Linked DNA regions of Mus musculus. The protein of the gene in region 1 purifies or fractionates together with the protein of each later gene. This does not show direct contact. Links are inferred from orthologs where the notes say so. Each region holds a gene or a part of one and is shown in the gene's direction. Other genes may lie near its edges.

Region 1 (3,748 bases):
GGCCTCTTCCGTGCACTGCCTCCTTCTGACCATCGAGTAAGTAAAACGCAGCAAGAACTTTGGTCACTTTATCAGCTGACTGTCCTGTATACAAGTAATAAGAAGGGTGTGCAGAGCCCTAGGCACGCAGCAGCTCACACCCTCGGCTCTCTATTCCAGACAGAGCAGGTGCTCCCAGAGGGAAGACCGCTAGGCAAAGATCAGGCCCGAGGTTGGTAAGAGAGAGGTTAGGCCAGATACCAGGTTTGCTGTTTTCAGTTCAATATAGGGGCTTCTCAGATGAAGTTAGGTATTGTTCATCAACAGAAAAAAAATTATACTTGAATTCTGTCAGTAAGATTATTTTTACTAGTTTGGCCGCATCTGGCTCTGACTCCTGGACTAAAAAGCTAGGCAGTTCCCATACCTGCCGCTCAGTGACCACTGGTTTCAGTTTGCCTTGTGGTGTCTTCTGTCTCCGGCTGTGTAATGCTCCCCAACCTGACTGCCAACTGTGTGCAGGCAGGCACTGCAGGACCACCAAAAGGAAGGGTGGTGGAGCTGGGAGACTAGAAGACATGTCAGCTCCACGTGCTTCTGCAGGGCTGCTGAGTTGTCATGCAGCGTGATACCCTGTGCAGATGCTACGGGTGCTAGCTGACCAAATAGAAGCATTACACTCATCTGTGACTCTCGTGTTTCTGGCTGGGTGAGAGTGGGCCTAGAAAAGCATCTATTTGGAAGGTTGTCCCCTCCTGGTTAGGGGGCACCTCCTGTGTGGTAGCTCCTCCAGAGTCCCTCCTCAGTGGTCAGAATGGACAGCCAAGTCTTGGAAGCTGGCCGTCAGCCTGAACTTCAGAATTCATGTTTGTGTTTGCCAGGGGAACATGCAGATCCAATGCAGACCAGATAAAAATGTTGACTCTCTCTCCAGGCAGACAGCCCTGGAGAGCGATCAGAGTCTGAGACATACCCTCTACACCCTCAGTGAACTCAACACTGACCTTCCTGCCCACAGTGGGTCCCAGGAAGACCTCTTTTCTTCCACCCTTGTGTGCAAGAAGCTGGCAGGCAGCAGCAGGCACGTTTTGCACCATTCAAAGCCCACAACTGGTGATTCCTACAAAAGCTAACTGTCTACCTGTGATCTCAGAGCTAGGCCTGGACCGCCCTCTCTGCCCTTTTCCCCTATCTGTAAAGGGCCTTTCCCGGGGTCTACAAAAGGAACTGCTATTCGGCTTCTCTCTGCCTGTTTAGGGGCAGGGTCGCTATAGCCCAGGCTGGTCTCGAACTCCCAAGGGCTGGAACTACAGGCATTTCTTACCACACATGGCTTAGCTTCCTCGGACTTCTATTGGAGACAAATGGGAAGACCAAAGAGACCAGCTGGAGTCATCCTGCGGGAACGGTGGACACTGGGACAGAGAAACAGGCCTGGTTGCGACTGCGCAATCCATCAAGTAGCCAAGCCCCGCCCCCGAGCACGGTGGCCCCGCCCCCTTGGGTTGCTAGGGGAAGTGACGTCACAGCGCGATGGCGGCGGCTCCTTTAGGCAGCTGAAGGGGGATTTAGGCCCGGAAGATCCGAGTCCATCCGCGGCGGGGAGAGGGCGAGCGGGGCCGGCAAGGGCCGGAGCAGCGGCGGCGGCGCTCGGACTGTCCCATCCGCCCCGTATTGAGGCGCTGAGAGCGACGGGGCGACCGGAAAGCGATGGTGAAAGCGGGGCCGTGAGGGGGGCGGAGTCGGACCGGACCCGCAGTAGCGGCAGCAGCGGCGCCGCCTCCCGGAGCGCAGACCCAGGAAGCGGCCGGGCGGGCAGTAGCGAGCCGCACCGCTGCCATGGAGCTGAGGGTCGGGAACAGGTACCGACTGGGCCGCAAGATCGGCAGCGGCTCCTTCGGAGACATCTATCTCGGTGAGGCCCGGCGCCATCGAGCGCCCGGGGGCCTTGCGGATCGGCGGGCGGGGTCCCCGGCAGGCCGAGGCCTGCGGAGGGCCGGAGTGGACGTTCGGCATCCCCGCAGCCGAGGGCCCGGGCACCGGCCTCGGCCAGACACCAACGGCCGCTGTGCGAGCGCGGCCGGGGGGCTGGGCGCGGCGCGGCGGGTCGGGGTGGGGTGCGGGGAAGGGCTGGAAGGACAGGCCGGTCTTGGGGACTGCAGGCCGGGGGGCAGAGCTCGGAGCGTGTCTGGGGATGGTCGGGGACCCGGGAGAGGAAGAAGGAGGCCTAGAGGCGGGGGCCAGCGGGCCTCGGTGGTGGGGTGTCAGAGGGCGTGGGAAAAGGACTGGGGGCGGGGGCCGGGGGGGGACAGCGGGGAGGGGGAGGGGAGAGCGGGGCAGGGGAGGGCAGCAGGCTGGGGGTGGGGCCCGGAGGGGGCAGGGCCTGGGCCGGGCGTCAGCATCCTCCCCCACCTAAGGTCACCGCAGTAAACAAAGGCCATGCTCTGCTCCGCCAAGGGTCTGGTGCTGTTCCTCAGCTCTGCAGTGGCGTCCTGGATGTTTTCATGTGTGGGGGAGAAATGTCAAAATAAGCCAGATGTAGTGTGGAGGTGGGGAGTGTCCCGGTCAGAAATGGGGGAAACGACCGGCTGATTTCTGAGGGTTCTTGGAGCAGTCTGGGCCTGCTCTTTTCCACAATGGCATCTCCACTTAGCTGACCCGCTAAAGGGATCACCCATAGCCTCCTGGCTGCCACTCTCCTCCAAATCAGGACTGAAAATGTTCCCTGTGCCTGGCCTGAAAGGCCTTGGTTTGGTTGGGGTCTTGAGGATATGTTGAGCATCTAAGTTGACTACTGGACACCCGGAAATCAACAGGAATGAAGTTTTGATGAATGCAGATGCATTCAATGTCGAGATGTAGGCAGAACAGAGGGGAGAGAAGTGGTGTGGAAGGAAGTTCTCATGATGGCTCTCAGAATTCTCAAGGTAGACATGAGGGTTGCTTAGGGTTGCTTAAACCTGATAGTTGGGGATTTTTAAATACAAACTTCCCCCTGCATTTCTTAGTAGAATTATGTTATTCCAAAGCCCCTTGAGAACTTGGAGCCTTCTGGTGGTGAACTTCCTGTTAGAGGTAACCATATTCTGTTGAGCAGTAGCCCATCCCTGCATTTGTTTGGCTGTTGTACCTCTAGTGGAGAGTCAGGAAGAAGCTGTGCTTTGGGCCGGCCTTCTAGTCTTCCCAAGCTTATGAACTTGCACTCTGACTCCTCACAGGACCTTGATAGCTGGTGGTGTGGGGTGAACAGCTGGCCCATTTGGGTAGTTCAGAAGTATTTATGGTGCCTGGTTAGCATACAGGGTAAGCCTGCTATGTGCCACATGAGTGCCTTTGAATCCGAACTTCTTGCCAGAGTGGTCTGATGAGTAAAATATGCTTTAGAGATACTTAGGATTTGCTTATTTAAATATTTATAACCAAGTAGAGAGCCAGATGCCTTCTCGGCAATGTTTGGGAGTCAAAGTGCTGGGTAAATTGGAGCTGTTTGGCGTATTTATAGAACAATAGATTTTGGCAGAAGTTTAACCTCAGGATATAGGAGCTAGACTGAAAACCAATCCATTAGCCACCCTTTCATGGGCATCAGAAAATAGGTATTTTGAAACTTTTTGTTCCCTGAGATCTTGCCAAAAGGTTTTGTGCTTTCTGAAGATTGATTATAACAACCAGTTGTGCTATGGTAGTCATGTGTCATTCAGAGATGGGAACCTTTCTCCAGGAGAGTGCAAGCTGTGTCTGGGGTTGCAGTTTACTTAGTCACATCTCT
Region 2 (3,648 bases), on another chromosome or scaffold:
GAGCCTGCGGCTTGCATTAGACAGGAGCACATGCTTGGGAGATTCAGGAGCTGTCTAAGTTCACAGTAACTTCTGGCATGAAATTGTCTTTATAAACATGAGAATTCACAATTTGTGTATCTATTAAGTAATTTTACCTTTTAAGTTATTTACACATTATACCAAGTTAACAAAGCTAATTCTATAAACAACACAACAAACTGACTTTACTTGTGTTAGCAAGTAAATGAATAAAACCATTACTTGATCCAGACACGCGTCTTCCCTTGGTGATGTCTTACATGTGCTAGTCCTTTTGGTACCAACACTTCCATCAGGTCCCAGTTTTCTTAACGTCAATGGGTGAATATGGAGCAGACAGAATAGGGTAAGAGAAGTTGCTTCTAAATGGGAGACTCAGCCATATTGTAAAATTAGGTTTTGTTGAGTTGATTGTGAATACATACCAAAGACTCGGTGTGTGTGTGTGTGTCTGTGCCTGTACGTCTGTGTGTGTGTGTGTCTGTGCCTGTACGTCTGTGTGTGTGTGTCTGTGTGTCTGTGTCTGTGCGTCTGTGCGCACACGTGTGTAAAAATCTTTTCTATGAGTTTCAGTTTGCTGGTAGATAATTAAGAGACACTTAATAGTGTCATTGTAGCATTATTGAATTCAACAAACTTCATTATAGCCCTATATGTAATATCAAAATATTAAACCAAAACAAACTGTACTTACAGCAGGGAGGATAGCTTTTACTCTGAAACCATGTCTAGACTTAATGCAAACCCTTGGAAGTGCTGCTGGCATCTTTCCCTAGAACTATTGTAGGATTGAGGTACCCAGTGGTCAGCAATAACTACATAATGCACTTAATATTAATGACTATACTTAAATATAAATGACTTGGAATTTGGGGTGCATGTATGCATAATATTTCTCTCCTTATCCATGAGGGCATTCCAAAGCCCTGGTGGCTGTTAAGAACCACTAGTCACGTTGAACCCATGTTCACTGTGCTGTCTATCTAAAGAGCACAGCATGGCAAAGCTTGGCTGTAAATTATAAGTTATAGGAGGTTAACAATGGTATTGAACGTTTAGAACAGTATGCTGTAATAAGTTATGTGAGTCTAGACATACTATTTTTGTAGCACAATTGAACACAAGTAACTGAAACCACGGAAAACAAAAGCTCAGCTAGGGGCAGGTGCTGGGAACAGATACATGTGCTGAGGTCTGTAACAAGGACCCACACAACAGAAAACAGCTGTGGAGGCTTCACGTCCATAGAGGAAATTGGGACACAGCAGAAAGGGCAAGAGGAGATAGGGTTTCTCTGTGTAGCCCTGGCTGTCCTAGAACTCACCCTGTAGACCAAGCTGACCTGGCATTTATAGAGACCCACCTGCCTTTGCCTCCGAGTGCTGGGATTGAAGGTGCGCCCCACTACTGATAGCATGTTTTACTTCTGCTGATTATTTCTCGTTAGAATTATCAATCTACTTTAGTTTTATTGGTGCCTCTTGAGATTTATTAAATTGGTTCATTTTTTTCACTTGTCCATTTATATTAATTTTTCTATACATGATCTATAGGCTAGTTGAACTACTTTGTTAGTTTTTAGTCACAATCCTAAATACTTGCCATCAATGATTTGATGTTTGCATACTGTATTATTTGACACCTAGTAGACATCTAGGAATTCAAGAGAATGGTTTTACATTCATTAAATATTTTTGAACACATTTTCTGGTCTTATCAGAAGCTAACATTCAAAATATCTTAATTGATAAATTTTCTGATATAAGCATTTTTGAGCTTATCAGCCAAGCTATATTAGCATTTACTAACTGTATCTTACTCATTCTTGTAACAGGATCATAGAACTCAATGGCGGACAGCCACCTCTAACATATAAAAGGTTTCAGACTCTCGTCAGCAAGATGGAGCCACTGGAGATGCCAGCAGACACCATCACATCAGATGTGATAGGAAAGTGCATGACCCCTCTGTCTGATGACCATGATGAGAAATATGGCGTTCCTTCCCTGGAAGAGCTCGGTGGGTGCAGCCGCTGATAAGCACCCAGAGTGCATGGCAGCACAAAGTGGACCTGATGGCTGACTAAGAAAAGTCAGAAAGAACACAGTCAGGATGGGTAGGGAGATCTGGGGGATCTAGGAAGCTTTAGGGGGACAGGTAAGGGCAGTGTGATCAGAATACGATGTGTGAAATTCCCAAGTAATTTAAAAATATATTTTAAAATACTTCATAGTCATAAATCATTTGGACATTTCACTTCTAATGTATTTTTACTGGAAGAAGAGAAGAGTAAAGGGGAAAATAAAAGAGAAACCTATTAACCAAAAATATCTCATGTGCATTCTTAAACTGTGACTGGCTGTCAGGTGACAATGTGCATCCTAAAAATGGGAACCATGTGTGGTCCTTGGGGCAGGAGTCTGTCATTGGGTGGGGCCTAGGCCAGTGTAGTCCTGTGTAGTCCTCTGTAAGCCAGTGTAGGCCTGTAGAGTTGTATTTATTTGTTTATTTTATTTTTGCTGAGTGATTTGTTTCCCAAGTAAGTGTGGTCAGGAAAACAGTGATTTTTTTGTTTTATAATAATTACAATATTAATGATGTTTTCCTTTCTTCATTTATTTGGTTCTTTTTCCTTAGGCTTTGATACAGATGGCCTGTCCTCTGCAGTGTGGCCAGGAGGAGAAACTGAGGCACTTACACGTTTGGAAAGGCATTTGGAAAGAAAGGTACAATGTAGATTCCAAATAAACCTTTCAGAAATTATCTCAGCCTTGTTTAGATGAGACCAGGCACATCCAGGGAGGCTTAGCCGTAAGCTTTAGACAGAATATGCTGTTGACAAAGGAAGACCGACAGAAATAGTTACAGCAGCACAAATCTAACGTTTGGAAGTCACCATCAGCCATCAGGTACTGCCCTTTCCTCCTGCCTGCTTCTTCCTGTTGCTGGAGCCAGGCTGCTGCTTCTGTTCTTCCCACCCGTATCAGCTGGCTAACGGGCTGGAGCAGGATTCTGCCTGCAGCCATGCTGCTCTGTCTGAGACTCCAGTGGGTCCCATGAGACAGTTTCACTTGTCTGTTTTGTTGGTATCACTGGTAATACGTATTGATTGTAGAAATTAGCAAGACTCCCATGTATTGATCCTGTTCCGCCACTCCCTCAGATACTTCTCCCATTGCAGATGACCCTCATCCTTGCCCTCTCCCGTCTCTTAATAAAGCTTAGTTTGTAACTTAGATGCATCAGGAGATTCATATACTCACTAATGGTAAGATAGTATAATTGTGATCTACTATAATAAATTATTTAAAACCTACAAGTTATTTGTAGAATTTTCCTTTAATGTTTTCCAACTATCATTACTCGACCATGAGCATCTGAAACCTTAGGAAAGGCAAGGCACACCATTGTATTCCTTTGACCCAGTGTTCAAAGAGACAGGGTGAAGGTGCTTCACTCCTGAGGCTGGGGACCTGATGGCCGTTTATTTCACATGAGTGCATGCTGTACATGGATGGCTTCAGGGAAAGACAAGTCACCTTTTAAAGTCCCTTTCTCCAGTTACTAAATCAGAGATCTATAGTGGGATAATAACAAATTCCTCAAAATCCTCAGTTTTGAGGTGTG
Region 3 (3,648 bases), on another chromosome or scaffold:
GACCTCTGGGTCAGCTGGGAGAGCGGGGTCCGGGTGAGTGCAAGCTAGCCTGTACCCTGTGACCAGGCCTAGCCAAGGGCAGCTCCTTATAGACTGGGGCTGGGGTGGGATCCTTGGGTCTAGGAGATCCTTTCTGCATCCCTGGGCCCTCAGCAGAAGGGCTCTGGCTCCCTGAGGGTGTAATAGTGTTACAGAAGTGGAAAGAGCCAGAGCGTCAGGTCTCCAAGGAGGCTGGTTTTTCCTCATCTAGGTATTTGACGAGCTGCTCCTGGATGCCGATTTCAGTGTGAATGCAGGCAGCTGGATGTGGCTGTCCTGCAGTGCTTTCTTCCAACAATTCTTCCACTGCTACTGCCCTGTGGGCTTCGGCCGACGTACAGACCCCAGTGGGGACTACATCCGGTAAGGACACACACCAGACTCTTTGGCTCTGGAGCCTCCCTCCTGGATTGGGGTACCCTAGGCCCTTTAAAGAAGAGTCACAGTGTGCTGATACATTACCTGGGGTGTGTTTCAGGCGGTACCTGCCCAAACTGAAAGGCTTCCCCTCTCGATACATCTATGAGCCCTGGAATGCCCCCGAGTCAGTTCAGAAGGCTGCCAAGTGCATCATTGGCGTGGACTACCCACGGCCCATCGTCAATCATGCAGAGACTAGTCGGCTCAACATTGAACGAATGAAGCAGATCTACCAACAGCTGTCGAGATACCGGGGACTCTGTAAGGATCCCCTACCCCCTCTGGCATCTCACTCACCAAGGGAGGACGAAACCTGAAAGCTTTTTCAGGTGTTGGCTGCCCCCAGGCTGTAAAAGATGCTGCAGGCTGGGCCAGATTGGGCTGCCAAAGCGGCTGTGGGGTATTGGAAAGGGTGGAGGCTGTGTCCTGCTCTTGCCCTCCTTGGCTTCTTTGTTTCTCATGATCTGCAGCCCTCTTAATCTTGTGTGCATTCAATCCCCCAGGTCTATTGGCATCTGTCCCTTCCTGTGTGGAAGACCTCAGTCACCCTGTGGCAGAGCCTGGTTCAAGCCAAGCTGGGAGCATCAGCAACACAGGTGACCAGTCAGTTACACCTGCCTCTGGCCTCCCTGGCCTTCTGTGGCCTGTGTCACCACCACATTAGTCATTTAGGGCTGAGGCCAAAATGAGCATGTAGCTGATGAAGCTTATATCCCACCTGGGACATACTGTAAGACCATCACATGAGAACATTAAGGATTTTGGAGGGAGGTAGCACTGAGTGGCTTGATGTGGGACTAGGAATGGGGCCTCTTTAGGGCCGCGTTAGATAGGAGAAGCCCAAGGGCACCTCTTTAAGCATCATCTTGATAAGAACCAGGAAAGGAAATATCGAGAAAGGCCCCCAAAGCAGGCACAAGCAGAGTCCACTGTAGGAGCAGAAGGATCCAGAGCCAGGGAGGAGGGAAGCAGAGCAGCTTTGGCACAAGTCGCCCTGCCTTCCTGCACTGACGGAGGCCCCACTGAGGTTTTAAAACCCCACTGCCTGCCACATAAACGGAAACAATGGGGAGATGAGGAATAAGGTGCTCAGGAGGCTGGGCAGGAGAAGCCACAGGGAAGAGCAAGGGTGCTGGTCGGGTTCGGGATGCTCCACAACACGAAAATGCCCAGAACCCTGGGATTTCCCGGGACTGCGAAGGGAACCCTCACCTTCAGAGCAAGGACGGCAGGACGGCAGGTAGGCCAACCAGTCTCTGGCCTGGCGCCAGGGATCTGAGCACCAGAAGTTGGCCTTGCTGCCAGCAGGCCAGGCCATGCCCTCCTCATATAGTTCCAAGTGAGGTCACTGCTGCAAAGGAGGCCAGGGCAGGGCTTCCTGTCCCCACAGCAAGAGACTGTTATGGTAAGTAACTATGACCTGTTTCTGTGCCTCTCTACAGGCCCCAGAGCACTATCCAGTGGCCCAGCTTCCCCCAAACGCAAGCTGGAAGCAGCCGAGGAACCTCCTGGTGAAGAACTGACCAAGCGGGCTAGAGTGACGGAGATGCCTACCCAAGAGCCAGCAAGCAAGGACTCCTGAGAGTGAGTTGTGGTTTAAAAAGCTGTTGCTTGCCAGCTGGAGGGCCAAACAGCAAACCAGATTAAAATGCGATCAGGGTAGGACTTCAGCTTGTTTTGCTACAGTTATGAATCATCATGTAAATACCTGGTAGTCAGGAGATCTGATATGCAGCCCCCAAAGGGTCAGGGCCCACAGGTTGAGAACCACTCCTGTAAACCTTTGCAGTGGTAAGGGATGGCTGTCTTTGTTTATTTGTTTGAGACAGAGCCTCACTGGGTAGTTGAGGATAGTTTTGGACTTAGAGCAATCCTCCTGCTGTAGCCATATCCTCCTGAGTGCTGGAAATTCAGATACGAGCCACCATGTCTACTTTACCTTCTAAAATTTAAAAAAAAAAAAATGTAAAGGAAGAGGGTTTATTTTTGAAGAGTGAAACTTAGAAGTTGAAACCCTTTGATTTCTGGCGAGGGTTTAGTTTAGTTTTGTTCTGTTTGTTTACTTGACCTGAGTTCTGTAGGTGGCCAAGCGAGGGTGATACTGAGCTTCAGATGGCAGGAAAGGGCTCAGCCCAGCCCCAGAAGCTGTCTCTGCCTCTGCCTCAGGGTCTCTTCTCACGGGCTCTGGCCGTGCACGTGCCAGTCCATCCTCATCTTTTCTACAAGACTCCTGAATCATTAAAAAAAAGGAAAGAAACAGAGGGAAGGAGAGTCAGTCAGTCTTCCTCCTCTCGGCTCCTCCTTCCCTAAGGCAGGAAAGGCTTTTAGGCCAGTCCTGGAGAAGTGTGGATTGCTGTCCTCTCAGGCTGTGGACAGTCTCTCCTGGCAGGCTCTTCCGACCATCTGCATCAGGAGATCGGAGGGTGCTTTTCACCATGGAGGGTTGGTGCTTTTTCTGGTCCCGATCACTCGGCCTCACTGAGGCTTCCGCAGTGTCTCGATTTATGTCCTCGTGGGGTGGCAGGCACTTGGTGCTTTGTCCTCTAGACATTGCCAGTGGGAGGACAAGGTTGTGCTGCCTTGTCCCTGGAAGAGCCACCACCATAGATGCCATGCTCTCCAGTGCTGAGCACAGAGCGTGATGGCTTCTGAACTTGCTTGGTTAATTCCCTGATTTTGAGGCAAGATTAACAAACAGAAAGATTAGATGTATGAGTCAAGGATGCTCAGTAAGCTGATGGCGTATAGTACAGCATGGGCGTGTTGCCAGCAGATGTATAGGGACAGTGACATATAACGCATGCCACATTAATGTGGGATCCATCCACAGTGACTTAGGAAAGGAAGACTAACAGCCTACAGTTCCTAGAAAGCTGCAGACCTGGCTTATCGGGAGAGCTGTTGATGGGCTGAGCGTGGAGCAACTTTACACCACAGCAAAACCAATTCAGAGTTTATATGATCTTGTACAAATTACATAATCTCTAGGAGGATGGTTTCCTTCCTGAAATCAGGTCATTGTCCCCAAGATTAAGTGCAGATGCAGTCAAGAGACGTGGGGGTGCTGCTGTGGGCTCAGCATCTCTAAGTCCCAGCTCCCAAAGGCTCCGAAACCCAACACCGTGTGAGTGTCAACAGGGAAATCTGTGCAGATCTCCTTAAATTCAGAAAATCCAGGCCCTCACAGCC

Evidence for each region. The genes of interacting proteins can lie anywhere in the genome.
Region 2: the proteins of Csnk1d (region 1) and Cry1 purify together in Homo sapiens (affinity purification with mass spectrometry; 3 studies listed by BioGRID and IntAct, counting the BioPlex papers as one, with this or other methods). This does not show direct contact. The link is inferred for Mus musculus from reciprocal best matches to the Homo sapiens genes CSNK1D and CRY1.
Region 3: the proteins of Csnk1d (region 1) and Cry2 purify together in Homo sapiens (affinity purification with mass spectrometry; 3 studies listed by BioGRID and IntAct, counting the BioPlex papers as one, with this or other methods). This does not show direct contact. The link is inferred for Mus musculus from reciprocal best matches to the Homo sapiens genes CSNK1D and CRY2.

Annotation. Positions count from the first base shown.
Region 1 is NC_000077.6:120,989,081-120,992,828, reverse strand, and holds the start of Csnk1d (casein kinase I isoform delta), read left to right. Parts: upstream 1-1,495; 5' UTR 1,496-1,818; coding exon 1,819-1,894; intron 1,895-3,748. UniProt on the Homo sapiens protein: Essential serine/threonine-protein kinase that regulates diverse cellular growth and survival processes including Wnt signaling, DNA repair and circadian rhythms. It can phosphorylate a large number of proteins.
Region 2 is NC_000076.6:85,147,006-85,150,653, reverse strand, and holds part of Cry1 (cryptochrome-1), read left to right. Parts: intron 1-1,855; coding exon 1,856-2,040; intron 2,041-2,658; coding exon 2,659-2,747; intron 2,748-3,648.
Region 3 is NC_000068.7:92,410,021-92,413,668, reverse strand, and holds part of Cry2 (cryptochrome-2), read left to right. Parts: coding exon 1-33; intron 34-250; coding exon 251-402; intron 403-517; coding exon 518-720; intron 721-962; coding exon 963-1,055; intron 1,056-1,901; coding exon 1,902-2,041; 3' UTR 2,042-2,043; intron 2,044-2,077; exon of another isoform or gene 2,078-2,089; intron 2,090-3,648. UniProt on the Homo sapiens protein: Transcriptional repressor which forms a core component of the circadian clock.